Linked DNA regions of Drosophila melanogaster. The protein of the gene in region 2 interacts with the protein of the main gene of each other region in a pairwise test. Each region holds a gene or a part of one and is shown on either strand. Other genes may lie near its edges.

Region 1 (4,865 bases), on a different chromosome or scaffold from region 2:
ACAACAATGTTGCCAAGAATACGGAAATATTTTTGAGTGGATGCTCTCTGCGAAAAATATATGCACTACAAGAAACTTTGACAAATTATCATGCTTATGTATAATATTTAAAAGTGCCACGAAAACTAAAATTAGCATAGGTATTTTACACTATGAAAACAGTACAGTAATTTTGTTTTAAGTTTAAATCTTCAGAAAACTATAACTTATAGAATCTATACAATTTGTGTATCAGATTGTGTTTGTGTCTGGAGAAAATCAAATTAAATATCGCCTGCTTAATGTTATCAATTTAATGAGCCAAGTTGGGAATTCCCTCCTGGGGGTTGGTCAAATCGGCCATCAAAGTTGGCATGCCCCAAGCTGCGTGAGAAGGGCCGGCGGAAAATCAAAGCCACTTTTTGCGCTCTTAAGTGCAAAAATTAAACACAATCAACCCCCCAAGGCGAATCTCTTACGCTCGCCCCCCAAATTTCTCTCCGCTTTCTCTCTCTCTCTCTCTCTCTGTCGAATTTCTCGTCCGATATTTTCCCATATCATTGGCTCTCATCACTGCTCTTCGTGTGCATTATTTATTGCTCTTATACAGCCCGAATGTTTGACGATGACGAAGGTGCTCCACTGTCAGTGTCACCACCCCCGCCCACTCTCTGTAATTCAGATTCCCCCTAGCTCTCTCGCTCTCTCCCTCTCGTTCGTCACCTTTCCCTTTCGCTCCCTTGGCTGGAGCCCAGTTAACTAGTAAACCAGCAACCTATAATGGAGCCTCTTCCGTGTTGTTATCCCTATCCCACGACGTCGCGTATTCCCCACAGAGAGAAAAATCATCGGCCATTAGTCATGAATTCGCAACGGTTATGATGTAATGATGAATTATCTGGGGAGTTGTTTTTGGATACGTATTTGCAGTGCTCTCTACCCTTGTCTAGAATAAATTTCCACCTATAAGTAGTTTTTAGAGATAGACATCTCATGAACGAAAGCTGTTTCCTTATCCATTTGATCTCTACTCATACAAAGAGATTCTTGAGATGCAAACATATGCAGTATGATATGATATGAACTCTTTCACTGATTTTTCTCAGTGCACTATCCCAATTCTATCCCTTTTTCGCATCCCGGAAAATGAGCACCAGCTGTCTGCCATTTGCCTTCAATTTTCCCCATTCATGTTTGTTTTGCTTTTCGCCTGACTGTATAATAAATAACTTTGAAATAAATCAAATCGGATCCTGGGCCAATGGACACATGTTAAATGGACCGAGAAATCTAAGCGGGGCATCATCACATTTTTTTATTGGATCAAAATCAACAAGAGCAGCGTCGGCGACCTTAAAACGCATTAGCAGCCGCTGTCGGCCAAGTCGTAATAATTTTATTAGCAAACATCAGAAATATAAAAATGCCGCTGCTCGGAGGCAAAAGAAAAAGAAATAAAAGCGGCTACAATTTCGAAAGGTGTTGGCTTTTTCAGAAGTTCAAATTCAAACGGCGTGTGAGTCGGTGGGCGGGGGGAGGGGCTGTGACAAGTGCAGGCGTGCTCAAGGTAAAAGCGCCGCCGCCGCAGTCGCCGTCGACGCTGACAGCGCTGTCGACTGCAACTCGGCCGAAATCCGAGTGCAAGATCAAGTGAAGCGAGTGGCCGAAAAACTAGAGAGAGGCAAAACTACGAAAGTCGGAGAGCGAGCCATTTATCATTTTACATCACAAAAGATAAGCTGGCGAATAGGAGATACTCAGCATATACATATATGTACATTCACATACATATGTACATACATGTGTAAGTTAAAAAGTAACTATCTTTGTATAAAAGAATCTAGCAATTAATAATAAATAAAAAAGCAGTTCTGCCTCTAGGAAAATTATATTAGGGCCTAAAAATCTCATGTATTGACCTTATATTATTATAATATTATTTGTTATGCTGACAAAACCACATATGTTTTGTATGTACTAATTATCAATATTTCGTGATATGATTAAACGGTTTTATTGTGTAGAATCTATACTAATAAGCTGTTCTACAATATTCCCTCACATAAGTACAGGGTATTTAAGTTGGTCGCGCGGGTGACAGACATTCTGTCTTTTTCCCACCTTTCGCCGCCCTCTCTTTCGCACACGTGCAGCGGCACTACATGTTGTTGTTTTGTTTTTTAGGCATTCTGGAGGCGATGCTGTTTAGGCCGCTTTTAGTCAAGTGGCCGTGCAGCGACGCCAACTGCGGCAGCGCAGCTGCGACTAGATGAAAAAGAACAAATTGACTAAGCACGAAACACGTTTTAGCCAGAGTTTTTAGCCAGACTAGCAGCTCGAATCGGAATCGGAATTGGAATCGGTGGGAGCGGGACGGCGTGTGACATACTGACCCAATTCCGGGTTTCGATTTTCTGGTTTTTCTCAAGAATACACGTTTTCCGCTGCATAAACACACACATAAGCGTACGCGGGAGCGAAAGAGGCAGAGCGGCCAAACGAGTTGCATGGCCAAGAATTTTCGCCTGGCATTTTTCATTTTCCCTGCGAGTGACATTCATCCTCCCCCCACCCAAAAGCAATCCCCTGTTCTGTCATCAGGAAAACTCACCGTTAGCTGCGTCCTCCTTGGAGATTTTTCTGATTGCGTCCAAACTACGTCGTTTCCACAGGCTGCCTTACGTTACGTCTTACGTGAGAGGGGACACAGTTTACAGTTACAGCCTTTGCGTATCATTAATATTCCTTGTGATGAACGTTTATCCCAGATACGATGCGTTTGTATATATGTATCTTAATATCCAGTATTCAATATCAATATCAATAACGTCGGTGATGAACAAGAACCAGAAGACCAAAAACGATGGGATGATGGGATGATGGGATTTAGCTTGATATTCTCTTGGTTTCTTTTGTAATTTAATTATTTGCTCTTCTTTCTTTTCCGATATTTAGTGGTGTTTACTTGTATATATTATTGTTGTGTGTTCCGATTTAAAACAATTTTACTTGAATATATATATATATAGCACTAGACAACTTACTTCCTACGAATCACAATTAGAAATGAGTGTAAGGCGACGACCGAAAGGAAAACTCCCGTCAAAATGAAAAACTACGCGCCGTCTACTTGGGCGGCCGAGAAAAACCAAAACACTGTGGCGACACACCACATGTGTTTTTCTCTTCCAAAAAACCCAAAATTCCAAGGATGGTGGGGGCGATTGCAAAGGAAAATTGAAGCCAGGAAAACTCTCTTCAATATTTACCGTTCACCGTTTAGCGATATAGCACAACAATTTTAGTTCTACAACTGCTCTCGTGTAATGATGAACTCCAATTAAGAACACAAGTCCGTTTTAAGTTGAAGGCAGCCGTCGGGCTGACATATATTTATTCAATTTCTTCTTTTGATTTTAGAGTAGGCAGAAATGGTTCTGTCAGCTCAACGTCTACAGAGTCTCTCCGATTTTACAGTTTTTTATATATTTTGACTTAGGCTAATCCGCGTAGCTGCGCTGCCGGGTACGCCAGCAGCGGAGCGGCGTTCTTATGTATATCTTATATATCTAGGCTTATCGGGAGAGCGAGATATGTATGTACGTATGTAATATGTATTTGGTCGGCGTGTGAATGCTGACCATGCACTTATACTTTTTGCCTTCGAGTGGGCAATGCACTTATACTTTGTGGCCTTCGAGTGGGTGATCATGTTACATCCGCCCTGGCCTAACTGCGTGCATAAACATAAACATAGCAACAAAGTGCTGCCATAAGTTAATATGCTATTTTATTTAATTGTTCTTAATATTGCATAGGCACATACTACATCTCCCTCCTTTTGAAAAATAACGTAACCTAGTGAAGTTATTTTGATTATTAAATGCAAATTATTTTATTTTTATTTTTATTTTGTTTGTGTTTTTGTTTGAACAACAATAGTTGATTTTATAATGCAAAGATAAAAATATACGTAGTGTATGGAAAATTTGTATAAATGATTAAGGAAAATATAAGTTTAAATTCAATCATGAATGAAATTTCTTTAATCTATCTTTATGAACTATTTGTTTTTTGTTTTTATTAGTAAGTAGCGTAATATTGTTATTATCTCCTATGCTTTCTATCTTATAGGGCCCCGTATATTTAAAGTCTAATTTATGACCTACCTCATTTCTTAGTAAAACTTTATCTCCTACTTCTAATTCTATGTCTTTTATTTTTAAGTCATAATTTTCTTTATTTTTTTCTTTGTGTGCTTCAAGAAGTTTTCTTGCTCGAGCATATGCTACCTCTAACCTATATTTACTCTCCTTAGCGTAATCATCTATGTTATATATTGGTTCTATGCTATGTAGTTTATTAAAATGTTTTGGTAAATTACTTGTTCTACCGAAAACTAATTCATATGGACAATAATTATGTACCATAGATTGGGTCGTGTTGAAGCAGTATACGAAATATTGAAGCCATACGTCCCAATCGGTTTTGTCCGTCGATATGTAGGATCGTATATACTCGTTTAAAGTTCTATGACTTCTTTCTACTACTCCAACTGTCTGGTGGTGATGAGCTGTTGATGTTATATTTTTTATTTTCAAATATTTACACAGGTCAGTAATTATTGAATTCTTATACTCTGTTCCCATGTCCGTTATGAACGTCTTCATTGGACCGTACTTTAGAATAAAAGATTCAAATATAGCTTTTGCGACTGTTTTTGCGCTTTTATTTGCTATTGGTATGGCAACTAAGTACTTGGTTAAATCACATATGAGAGTGACTGCGTACTCGTTACCATTTTCTGACTTGGGTAGTGGACCAATTGTGTCCACAACAACTCTATCGAAAGCATGTTCTGGTGTTTCAGTTATCGTCATTGGAGT
Region 2 (3,257 bases):
GGAGCAGCGTAGTGGGCGACAGCAGGGGCGGCGTATTGGGCAACGGGAGCGGCGACGGTCTTCACAACGGGGGCAACGGCGACGGCCTTGACCAGGGGCTCACGGTTGACAACGGCGTTGAATCCGTTGATGGGATCGGCGGTGTACTGGACGATCCTCTTGTAGCCGTCAGCGTCGATCAGGGAGTACTCTCCGCGTACCACATCTCCATCGCGCTCCTCCACCTGTCCCTTGTTGTCACCGGTTAGCTTGTCATCGACTCCGTAGGAGAAGCGGTACTGGGGGTGGGGGTCGTACTCCTCGGCGGCCTTGACCACGACCTTCTGGGCGACGGCCACGGGGGCGTGGGCGTAGGTGGCCACCGCTGGGGCAGCGTGGTACACCTGTGGGGCGGCGATGGGGGCATAACCGGCGCTGGCCACGGCGACGAAGGCGAGGGCGAAGACAAACTGGGGAACATATTCGTTAGAGAAACGGGTTCTGGTGGGATACCACAGGACTCACCTTGAATGCCATTTTATAGGGTTTTTGGATTCGTGGGTTAGTTCTTTGCGGAAACGGTGCTGATGGCTGAATGATACGGTTTCTGGCCGGCCAGCGGTTTTATAGCTCCCGCTTGCAGTTTCTGCTCAGGTGAAGCAAGGTGCTTACGCTTGGCCTTCTGAATATCATGCTCCAAATTAGCGCGAAGTCACCGCTCTGCGAAGTCAACGGCAAAGTCGGCAGAGACGCCGGCAGAGAACCAAGAGAGGAGAAGGGATTTGCGAATGCGAGATGCAGTCCAATTATTTAGAAAGGATTCGGCGGATTCGCGCGGTGCCCACGTTAAAATTGGTAGTTGGGAATGGATTGCATCTGCTAATAGCGTTTCGATTATCCAAGATATTTTAAGGATGGGATCGTGGATGTCTGGTGGGTGGCCTTGATTCCCACAGACTTCGCAAAAGGGCATTTATTTTGAATGAAGCAGCGATTTTCTATATATTGTACAAAAATAATGCATTGTGTAATATATTTTTAACGTTTATGTTCTAAGACCCATAAATGCCAAACTCTTAAATGTGTATCTGATAAATTATTATCTGAGTGTAAATAGAATGTTAGGTATTTAGATGTAGCTAAGTAGTTGTGTTCCTTAGGACACTAACGCAGACCCAACTTAGCTTTTAGTTTTTAGAACCACAGTTTTTGTAGTGTCAACCAATTTCAAAAAATATTAATCTTTTTTCAAGAGTTTTTTCTTATCCAGCACAGTGTAAAGTTCATTCAACTCTTTAAGATTGCAAATCCGTTCGTATAATTATAATCATATATGTATAGAGTATTTAAAGAATATCAATCAGATTGCACAGTGAACTCTAAAGATTCGAAAATCTTTAAAAAAACCTAATCAAAATTTTGCGATTTGCTTTGTAAGAAAAAAATATATGATCAGTATATCTTCTTAAAGCGATCTTATACAGCGTTATATAACAAAGTAATTAGCCACACATTGCGGCCGGCAAAGCCCTTTCGGTATTACGCAAACCTTTCCCCAAAGATCTTTCACTCTTTCGGTGCTGACGGGTTTAGAATCTGTGGCCACAAGCATTTGCACACCCACTGAGCTTAGCGCCACGAACAGGAAGTACAAGTTATTGCCCGACAACAATCGCAGTCGAGAAGCATTTAATATATTTCGCTGTCACCGCGAAAATAACACGTGCTGTCGGCGTATTGGGCCAAAGCAGAGCAGAGCTGGCAGCTTGATTTACTATAAAAGTTGTCGATCGGACACAGAAAAGTATCATTCGCAGATCCAGTTCACTTCTGTAAAGAACTACCAATCAGCACTCCTAGCAACATGGCCTTCAAGGTGAGTCATCTCGATGGAAATCCGGGATCAACTGTATACGAAATTCCGGTTGGATATCTAACGCTCTTGAATTTAGTTTGTCTTCGCCCTCGCCTTCGTCGCCGTGGCCAGCGCCGGTTATGCTCCCATCGCCGCCCCACAGGTGTACCATGCTGCCCCAGCGGTGGCCACCTACGCCCACGCCCCCGTGGCCGTCGCCCAAAAGGTCGTGGTCAAGGCCGCCGAGGAGTACGACCCCCACCCCCAGTACCGCTTCTCCTACGGAGTCGATGACAAGCTAACCGGTGACAACAAGGGACAGGTGGAGGAGCGCGATGGAGATGTGGTACGCGGAGAGTACTCCCTGATCGACGCTGACGGCTACAAGAGGACCGTCCAGTACACCGCCGATCCCATCAACGGATTCAACGCCGTTGTCAACCGTGAGCCCCTGGTCAAGGCCGTCGCCGTTGCCCCCGTTGTGAAGACCGTCGCCGCTCCCGTTGCCCAATACGCCGCCCCTGCTGTCGCCCACTACGCTGCTCCCGCTGTGGTCAAGACCGTTGCTCCAGTTGCCCACTACGCTGCTCCTGCTGTGGTCAAGACTGTGGCCCCAGTGGCTCACTATGCTGCCCCCGCTGCATATGCCACCTATGCTGCTCCCACCCACTACGCAGCTCCCGCCCACTATGCCGCCCCCGCTGCCACCTACACCTCGTACTCGGCTCCCGCCGTCGCCTACCACCACTAGATCCTGGCTAAAATCGACGCTGTACATATATAGAATTGTTGGCTTTATTATAACTGTTCATTTATTTATTGACAGCACCAATAAAAAAATGCATACAAAAATGTAGACATATATCACGAAAGACTAGAGTGTTTTGTGTTGCTTATTCAGAGGTAAGTTCCTGGCAAAGGACTCTCAGAGGTCGTTCACATTGTCCTGTTCTGGTTTGCATTATTTATGTGCTTGTTTTCATAACGAGTTCTTGCCTTCAGTGTGCGAAAAAGTTCACAGACATCGTAGGAGCCAGCCTCGCCGAAGGATTCTTAGGAGCATTAGGGCAATGCAATTCTTGTGGTGCTTTTGGTGGTGCAGTCTGGACTTTTGTTAAGCTATCCTTCAGGGATGCTGCCAGGGGCAACGAACTTCGTTGGCCTGCTTGATGATTTCGTTACGAATGCGGATCTTGATCCTGATCCCGATCCCCTGTCTGTCTGAAGGGCAGACAAATTTCTGGGCTTTGTGTCGGTCATTTCCATTTAAATGGCAGGACTCGTCCACCGCAATGCAAAGAGAATCCCTTTGTTGTTAATTTTTGTAATATAAAACGGAAATTATGGGGTCATGACTTTACTTGCCGGGTGATAAATGGCCGGGTGATAAAATGGGCCATCCCGGCCAGCCGGGCTACATGGG
Region 3 (4,451 bases), on a different chromosome or scaffold from region 2:
GTAAGATCGCGGATCGGTGGATCCAAAAATATATATGCGCGGTATATAGTCGGAATATAGTCGATTTTTGGTCCGCAGCAGACGCGCGTTCGCCGCCAACGATAACAAACAACTGAGCTGAAAAAAAGGCGAGCGAATGCCTGCAACATGTGGCATGCGGCCTTTCCAGGTGCCCCGCCCACTGGCGCCGCCCAGCCGACCGCCCAACCGCCCACTTTTCACCCAACCAAGCACACAACGCACTCATTCAGCGCGCCGGCTGGCAATTTATGAATGAAAAGCTGAACGGGAAAAGCTCCAAAGAAACCAACGAACGCCAAGTTCAAGGTGAAAAGCCCTTTGGGGGAAAAGCGCGCGCCGGAAAAGCTCAGGAAATGAAAATGCGCCGAGCCAAAGGGAATTTCCTAATGAAATTCAAATAGATAATATGTATGTGCCAAAAGGAAATAAACTAAGATATTATGTCTATATCTCGCATATACTTTGCAATAGAATTAGTTATTTAAATTATTTATTATATTTATTATTATTACGCAATAAATAAACGATCTGTTCAATTTTTCGATAAATAACTTATTTAATAGCAACATAATTTACAATACAAGTAGAGCACAAATGAACGAAGGCTTAAAAAAAAAAAACAAAAAAAAATTTGAAAAGATCCCTAGGTGGAGTGAGTGGTGGACTCAGTAGTGGTGGTAGTTGTGGCCCTGTTGCTGCTGTTGCTGCTGCTGCTGCTGCTGCTGGTGCTGCTGCTGCGCCAAGTTGGCCTGGGCGAAAATGTGCTCCAGCTCGGCATCGGTCAGCTGGTCAAAGATGCCGCCCTGACCACCGATTCCGGCACTACTGGCACTCAGGGCCGACGGTTGGGATCCCACGGGTGGCAGGTAACCTGGAAAATATTCGTTTGAAATATAGCATAATAATATATATCCATAACGTCATCTGAGCTCACCTTCAGCTGGCGCACTTCCGTATGGCGGGAGCAGGGTGATCGAGGGTCGATTCGGCGACGCTGGCGCGGATTCGGTGGGTGGACTATAGAATACCGGCTTCCAGGGCTGCTGGACGGATGGCCGCTGTGGTGGCACCTCCGACGGCGTCTCCGGCTCGGGTGATTGTGGGGGAATCTGCGGCGAGGCTATACCCGTGCCGGATTCAGGGCGGACGGGAGTGGAGCCCGGCAGCGGTACAATTCCGCCGGGGAATTGCGACTCTGGTTGGCCAAAAGTGGGTGGCTGCTGCGGCAATGGTGGCTGTGGAGCAGCCGGAAAGAATTGGCTAGTTGGTGGACTGGGGAAGGCCGGGACCGTGGGTACAGCTGGAACTCCTGGAACGGAGGGAGGTGATGGAATGGCTGGCGCCTGGGGGAACTGGGGAATCTGGGGAAAGCCGGGAAATTGAGGGAATCCGGGAAATTGTGGTATTTGGGGTATCTGCGGTATGGCCGGAATCTGTGGAATGGCGGGAACCTGTGGCACTTCTGGGGCTTCTGGTGCAGCTGGAACTGCCGGCTGGGCGGGCACAGCGGGTTGGGCTGGCACCGCTGGCTGAGCGGGCTGGAAGCTAAAGGTCGGCACACCGGGGAACTGAGGCGGTTGTGGGAACTGAGGGATCACCGGCAAATCCACAGCTGGGGGAGACGGAACACCGAAGGTCACTGTAGGTTGGATGGGTTGAACCGGTTGAAGGGGCTGAACCGGTTGGATTGGGCTAACTGGCTGCAGATGGGTGGTCACCGGTTGCACCGGTTGAAGGGGCTGAATGGGCTGGAGATGATGAACTGGCTGCACTGGCTGCACGGGCTGAACAGGCACTGCCGGAGCAGTCGGAGCATAGGTCTGCACATAAGTGGGCTGCAACAGAAAAGAATGAAATGGTCAACGGGATATTCCACAAGTTTCCTATGTAGCTAACTCACCTGCACGGCATGCACATGGCCATGAGCCGGAGCATGGAAGTGGACAGGCTTTACGGCGGACTGAAAGACCACGGGCTTCTGCAGGTGCTGGTGCGGATAGTTGACGCTGTACGAGGAGACGACCGCATTTCCGGGACGCAGGACGTACGAGGGCGGAGCCACGGCGGTGGACAAAGCGGTGGCCACGCCGGTGGACAAGGCAGTAGCGACTCCGGCGGGAATGGCACTGGCCACGCCACCGGGCAGACCGGTGGGCAATCCAACGGGCAGGGCTGAGGCGACGGCGGGCAGCAGGGCAGCGGGTGCGGGAGCTAAGGCGGGCAGCAAACCGGAACCGGAAACGAGCGGCTTGACCAGACCATGGCCGTATTTGACGAAGTGGCGGCGCGGAGGAGCGGCGGCCAGGAAGGCACTGCCTCCTGGCAGCTGCAGGCTATAGCCGTAGTGGGCGGCATAGGTGCGGGCGGGCCATTGGCCGTGCAGGTGGGCGTGGCCGTGTAGAATGCCACGCTTGTGCTTTCCGGTCGTGACCTCCACTTCCGTTTCCGGTTCGGTAACCACACTGGCCGTTGGGGCACTCTCCGCCACCGATTCCTCTTGTAGCGGGGCATCCTCGGAGGTCACTGTCAAAGTGGGCGTTGTGCTGGCGGGGGGCGTGACCGATCGACTGGTGTGACGCAAACGTAAGCCCGCCTCAGCTCGATGAGAAACCAAGATGACAGCCAAGACCATCAGAAGATGGAGGCTCCTCGAACTGGCCAAGAGATTCATTTCGATTCAGTGGACTTGATTTCTATATGCGTATATTTGGACACTATGTAATATATCGCCTCGCCTCGCGTTTAATCCGTTTGCTGCGATCGCCGACAAGAAAATGAAATGAACTTCCTTGGTCGCTGTTGTATTTATAAAGCGGACATCGCGGCACAGTGGAGTGGCACATACCCACTGTGCATACCAATCGGTGGCACTGGTGGTGCTAGCAATGCACCACCGTCAGCGGCTCATCGGCATGGCATACGGCATGGATTGGGCAGTTTATGACTTTTACGCTGCCATTTCACCTGCCGCAATCGAAGACCCCTCACCCACTGACCACTGACCACTGAGCAGCGCCTCATTATGCTGCGCCACCTGACCACGCACTGTGGTACCGTAGATTGTGCGCATATATATGGTATGTATATTCCTCAAGTATGGAATATTCCTACTACACTTCATATCTAAGTTTACTTCTTATTCAGATATCGAGATTATTATCATAAAAATCTAAAAGGCTAAAACTCTATATAGTTTGCCAACAACTTTGCCCACTAGTCCCACTGATTGCCTGGCCCCGCTCCACTGTCCCATTGGCCGGAATCCACCTACGCATGCGCAGCACGTTGCCGCACGCACCAAACTTTTGCTTTCAATGGCCTGCATGTTCCGCATGCTTTTTGTGCTCAGTTTTTTTTGTTTTTTATCGCCGGACTCTTTTCACTTTCGATTGCCGGAGATGGAAGGTCCGAAGGTTTATGATTTGGCTGCAATTTAGATACAAATCAAATGTGTCTCCGCTTACATAATCCGGCCAATAATATGGGCGGCTATTCGGGTGTCCAATCCGTGTTAATCAGTCGCCGGGTGAAAGCATAATAAAGCCATTGTAATAAAAGCAAAAGCGCACAATTGCAAAGCACCAATTAGCAATTACCTATTAAGCATGGCACGGTCAATTATTTTGATGGCATTTCAATGCTATTATTTGAATTTCGTTAAAATTCAACATTCACACGCATAAATTTCACCTGCACTACATCTGATGGCGAACTGAAGTCAATAGATAAGTGGATAGTTTCTGCATTATATCACATCCCATCGCCGTAAATGGACTTTCGATTAGCCTACATGGAGATTTTCACTTTTTTTTGGAAACGACCCGTTGGGTGTGTGGAATTTAAATCGATTACAGTGCCTTACACCTGGCATCTGGTACAGTTCGGTTATTGGGCTACCACCATATCGCCCTTTGCATCTAAGTGGGTCTGGCACACAATCCTCAAGGTCTTTCCCAGGCCTTGCCGCCGGAGATGTCATCAGTTTGCCGTTTGGGTTTGCCTTTTGGCACATGAAGTACATATATTTGACAAAGAGCTACATAAACCTCAAAATGTAAACATACAGAAATAAAAGCCGCCAGAGGAGCTTGTTTAATTCGATGCTTTATGACCTGCCCGACGTGAGCAGCATGAAAAAACGCAAAAAACCAACAATATAGATTATAGTTAAGCCCCATCAAATGGTCTTAGGATTTCCTAATCGCTTACAACAAATATCATCCTCGGCTGTCACAGTTTGAAGCCGGAGTGAATGCTGACCACGCCGAAGGTTAGGTTCTCGTAGGACACCTGATCGAATCCGGCCTGCTCGATCATTTGCTTGAATTGCTCCTGCTTGGGAAACCGTCGGATGCTCTCAACGAGATACTGGTACGCCTGCCACTGACCAGCCAGCAATTGGCCCATGGGCGGAATCACCTGGAAGGAGT
Region 4 (4,996 bases), on a different chromosome or scaffold from region 2:
TTTTGGCCGGATAAAGATTTTCGTAGATGAGAAGTCTGCTTCCGCGATTATTTTTGATTACGGAAACAGTTAAAAGGTACGAGAGAGCATCATCACTATGAATGATGGCAATATTAGTTTTGGTAAATCAACGTAGGTGATTGGAAGGCCTCGATTTACTTTTCTTGAGACTGCCTGATGCCGGCTTTTATAAACTTTTTAAGCTCTGTTCTATATCTTATTTGATGATCTTTAGTTTTTGTGAAGAACTGACGTCATCGACATACACGTAGCATGTTTATTTAAGATCTGTTCCGCAAAGCATCATCGATTGTCCTTTGGAAAAAATTTGGTGCAATTTGCAGTCCGAGTGGTGCAGAATGCAGTTCTGTAGTTCTGTAGAAATGCAGTTCGTCATTAAAAAATATTTCAGGGGTTTCCCTGTATTTCTCTAATTACTCGATTTGATGGAATTACGATTTAAGGTCCGATGTTGTAAAATGTGGAGCTTTTCCCATAATTTGAAGTATTGTAAAGTATTCAGCGTCAATAGCGTTCTTTAGTTTCTTAAAATGGATAACGATACGTTTTTCTTATTGCCATTTTCACAATGTCCTTTTTTATCGAAAACACACACGCGGTTGTTGTAAGGTTATCTCGATTTTCTGATTATGACCTATGCGATACGCCCATTGGGAAAAGGTTATTTTTAATAATTACGCGTTCCCAATCGGATTGGATAGTAGCGATTTTATTAAGGAATGGCTTGATAAGGGTCTGCAAATGTCCCGGTCCCGGTTGCCAAGGCCCTCGACGATTCAATAATACAATTATCATTATTGTGCCGCTTTCATGTTCTAGAGAATTCTTTACGAAAATAATATTTGCATTTACCTTCTTAACAAAGTCCAGTCCAAAATGAGAAATAAGTGGCTAAGACCGCATATGCGTTTTCCCCACTTTATTGTGGACCGGTAGTGCCTGAAAACCGCATAGGTCTCCAATTCCCTTGACTCCCTTGACTCCCGAATTCGGGCAAAGAAGTTTGCTCATAGACATCTACGGTTGGGGATGTGACCTAGGAAGCTAATTAATTTTCTTTTCAAATATTACTTTGCTTTCATGGTTACCTGAAATGTATACACATTTTGTACTCCCTGGTTACATTAAAACATTACATGTGCTTTTTTTTTACTAATTTGTTTTCAGATTTTTGAACCTTGCTGAAGTTCATTTTCACACCTTTCCAAACTTCTGCAGAATTTGTTAAGATTTTGTACATTGATTTTTCTTCAGATTTTGTTGACAATATTCAGAATTTCGTTAAGTAGTAGTTAAGTAACATTTCTTCCGAATTAGAAAGCGCTGCAATCTTAATAAAACCAAACTGAATCCTCATTTATAATGGTTTCTTAATGACTCCGCCCCATTTCTGTCATCGCCGTCTGTCCGTTGTTCCAGGTCACCTCCAACACCTGTACCATCACACAGCATTTGGATTACTTAAAGGATTACCTTTTGTAGGCGGAATATAATTTTTCCAAATTACCAACGTTTTTCCGCGGCATAGAGTTAAAAAAATGTACATTTACTTTATGCGAAGAAAATCTAGGCTCAACAGGCTTTCCAGGTAATTATTAATCGAGGGAGCGTATGGTGATCTGTCTTAAGCGGTTAACTTTAAGCTTGTAATTTTCATAATATATAGGAAGATGAGAAACACAGCACTCATCTTATACATACATATTTCAAATATATATTTTAATACTAGGTAATACTTAATACTTAAGAGGTAAGACAAGAAATTACGATATAGTCGAGTTTCTTGATACCGGATACTCAGATAGTGGGAGAGCACAAGAAAAATGTACTGTTTCATTTTATTAGGTTATCGATTAAAATTGTCAAAAAAACTGTAGACAAATAAAATAATTTTTCGAACGTGTGGGCGGCTTGAAGTTGAAGTGGCTTGAAGTAGAGTGGCCGTGGGCAAAATTGTTTTCGCATATAGATTCTGATCGAGTGATAACAGCAAACTATCCAACAACAATTCGACACCTGTTTAGGTTCATGATATAAAAAAATGCTTCCACGAGCAGGATTTAAGATCATCCGCACAACTATCACATCATTAATTTTTTGTACAATAAAAAATAAAGATATTTTTTTCTAAGCTTAAGCCATGTGGTGTATGCTCACTTCATACTGTACATATTTTATAGGCTCGGGAAATTATACGAAAAGCGTGCATAATGAGCCATTTTATTTTATTAACTCGAATTTATTTAATCTGTTTTAGCCCTAGCTTAAATTGTTACGTATGTTTATGTGTACATCAATATAAATCCCAACACTCTTCATAAGATGCACGCGTAGCAACACGACACATCCTCCTTTCCAATCCACAACACACATCAATATCAATTTCCAACCAATTTGGTTGGAAAACAGTTTCAATTCAACTATCTATATGAATATGAATATGTGTTTAAAATCGTCGGATTTTGTGAATACTAAACGAAAAGGAAATTTAAAATATAATATCCGAATTGGTTTCAAAACTTGCGAAGTGCTGCAGACCATCAAAATAAATGTGCTTATGGTTGAATTTGGGTTGCATTTTTATCGTGCACTATACAAATTCTACATGAATTTAGTTTTAAGCCATTTTCTTGGCATACATGTGCGTACATAAAAATGTGTATGTATATGTATACTCCCGCGCGAAATGCAGTCAATGTAATGTTCGTTAGCACTTGTTTAAGTAATTTGCCTAGAGCCTTAACCAGTCATTGGATTATTAAAATGATTAAAATCGTTATTCATAGATCATTCTTAATTAATATTGGTACTATAATCATAGGCTTAGATTAAGTAATATAGTAATTCAATTAATATTTTACTAATGGTCATGCCACTAAGAATATTTATTAATATTTGTTGTACTTACATGATTGTATATGAACTAATTATATAATTTACGACAATAAAACTCAAAATTCACTTAAAACAACACGGCACATGCGAAGCTTAGACTTTGTGATCCCTTAAACAACTGAGGAGGCTACGTGTGTAGAAAACATTGATGACTTGTGTGGAGGCTGGAAGGTGGCGGGCATAGGCACTGGAAGGTGATTGAAAAGTTTGGGGTTAATTAAATTTTTATTATTTTGATTAAATAATTTTTCTTTTTGTAGTTTTATAAAATTGTCTTGGCTCAATTGTAGTTTCTTTAACAAGCACCTTGTTCAACAAACAAAAAAAAAATAAAAAAAGGAAAAATTGGGAGGAAATTCAATTCATCCAATGAACTTACAGATATACAACAAGAGAGAATGCTATAGTCGTTTTCCCCAACTATCAGATACCCTTTACTCAGCTAGTATGAATGCAAACGCGAAATTTTTATCATTTTTGTGGGATATCGATAGATATTGGGGAATAAAATGAGAAGTAATTAAAAATTGTTCAAATGTGTGGGCGTGACCACTTCGGCGGCTTCTTGGCGTTACAGTGGGCGTGGCAAAAAGTTTTTGTCAAATCGACTAATAACTGACAGTTTTGGGCGGCTTGTGGCCGTTAGAGTGGGCGTGGCAATATGCGTCAACAAACTTGCGCTGCGTCTATGTCTCTAGAATCTGTATGCTTAATCTCAACCGTCTAGTTCTTATATTTCCTGAGATCTCGACGTTGACACGGACAGATCGACTCCGGCTATTGATCCCTATCAAATATATTTATACATATGTAAGCTCTATACAGTCGGAAACGCTTTCTCCCGACTGTTACATACTTTTCTACGAATCTGGTATGCCTTTTTGACTCCACGAGTGACTCTTATAACTACCAATACAATTATTTACTACAATATTTTGGCTCATCGTGATATTACAGACTTTACTATTGCACAGAGTGAGGGAATTTATAAAGAACATAATAATTTTGGATTGAACAAATTTCTCGAAATCCGTAATAAAACTCAAATCCTTATCTGAATTCAAAATCACACAACTTCAATACAATTGGGTATTTGTATCAATATCCACCAAGTTACCCACAATATTCTCAACCCTTCCATCCTAATTTTAATCAATACCACCCAATTATTTCAAGTCCAGCCCATATATCAGCATTCAACCAAGTATTCCCAAAAGTCATTTCCAACAAATCCAAAATCCTCAAACAGCACATTTTATAAGAAATACATACCCTCAACTACAATACAACAAGCCTCCACAACTAAGAATTCTAACTTCAAAATGTCTATTGACGAAATGAGATTCCAAGACGCACATGAATTCGAACAAGTCCAACCTAATTATTACGAACAACAGTATTATGACCAAAATCAATACAATCCATATCAAAATCATGGGTTCATAAATGAAGGGCAACAACCGATCCAACCCGTACAAATTAATAACGAAATATTATATATCAAAATATATATATATCAAAATGGTTCTGAACTAAACGAAAATTTTCGGTCAACGGCCCCGACAACACGAATACATAAAAATAGTATACAAAGGGTGCACATACAAATGCCTACTAGATACAGGATCAACAAATAATATGATCAATGGAAAATACATATCAAAATAGTATATGTGAAGTTTTAACATCAAATGCCTACTACTTCGAAAAGCTTGATTATCTTACCCAGCAATAGTATTTTAAAAATAAATCAAACATTTCATGTACACAGTTACGATAATTAGCATATCGTAATTGGTAGAAAATTGTTGACAAATGCGCAATCAGTTAGAAATTAATAAATAATTAATTACCTCAGAATCGGAAAGAACCCAGAATTTTTATATCCAAAAAACACCAATCCAATTACAATCCTGATTTATATCAGGAATCAAAAAGAAATTGATTTTTCACAATATCAATTACATCATCTAAATAAGGAGGAATATTTTAAATTGAGAAGTTTATTAAATAAATTTAAAAATCTTCAATATAAAGGAGGAGATAAACTGACATTTACAAATACCATTAAATAGGTACT

What was found.
Region 1: the proteins of Ccp84Ab (region 2) and bol interact in a two-hybrid assay, tested with the Drosophila melanogaster proteins (one large-scale study listed by BioGRID).
Region 3: the proteins of Ccp84Ab (region 2) and CG12723 interact in a two-hybrid assay, tested with the Drosophila melanogaster proteins (one large-scale study listed by BioGRID).
Region 4: the proteins of Ccp84Ab (region 2) and Marf1 interact in a two-hybrid assay, tested with the Drosophila melanogaster proteins (one large-scale study listed by BioGRID).

What each region holds. Positions count from the first base shown.
Region 1 is NT_037436.4:9,127,307-9,132,171, forward strand, and holds the start of bol (boule), read right to left. Parts: upstream 3,050-4,865; 5' UTR 2,591-3,049; intron 1-2,590. UniProt on the Drosophila melanogaster protein: RNA-binding protein that plays a central role in spermatogenesis. Required for meiotic entry and germline differentiation, at the transition between G2 and M phases of meiosis I.
Region 2 is NT_033777.3:6,701,406-6,704,662, reverse strand, and holds Ccp84Ab (Ccp84Ab), read left to right. Parts: upstream 1-1,785; 5' UTR 1,786-1,843; coding exon 1,844-1,855; intron 1,856-1,931; coding exon 1,932-2,585; 3' UTR 2,586-2,695; downstream 2,696-3,257. Other genes in the region: Ccp84Aa, read right to left, coding at 1-449, 505-516.
Region 3 is NC_004354.4:13,189,081-13,193,531, forward strand, and holds CG12723 (uncharacterized protein), read right to left. Parts: upstream 2,804-4,451; 5' UTR 2,693-2,803; coding exon 1,922-2,692; intron 1,857-1,921; coding exon 956-1,856; intron 893-955; coding exon 687-892; 3' UTR 563-686; downstream 1-562. Other genes in the region: Coq5 (coenzyme Q5), read right to left, coding at 4,252-4,451.
Region 4 is NT_033779.5:22,309,972-22,314,967, reverse strand, and holds the start of Marf1 (meiosis regulator and mRNA stability factor 1), read right to left. Parts: upstream 3,042-4,996; 5' UTR 2,930-3,041; intron 1-2,929.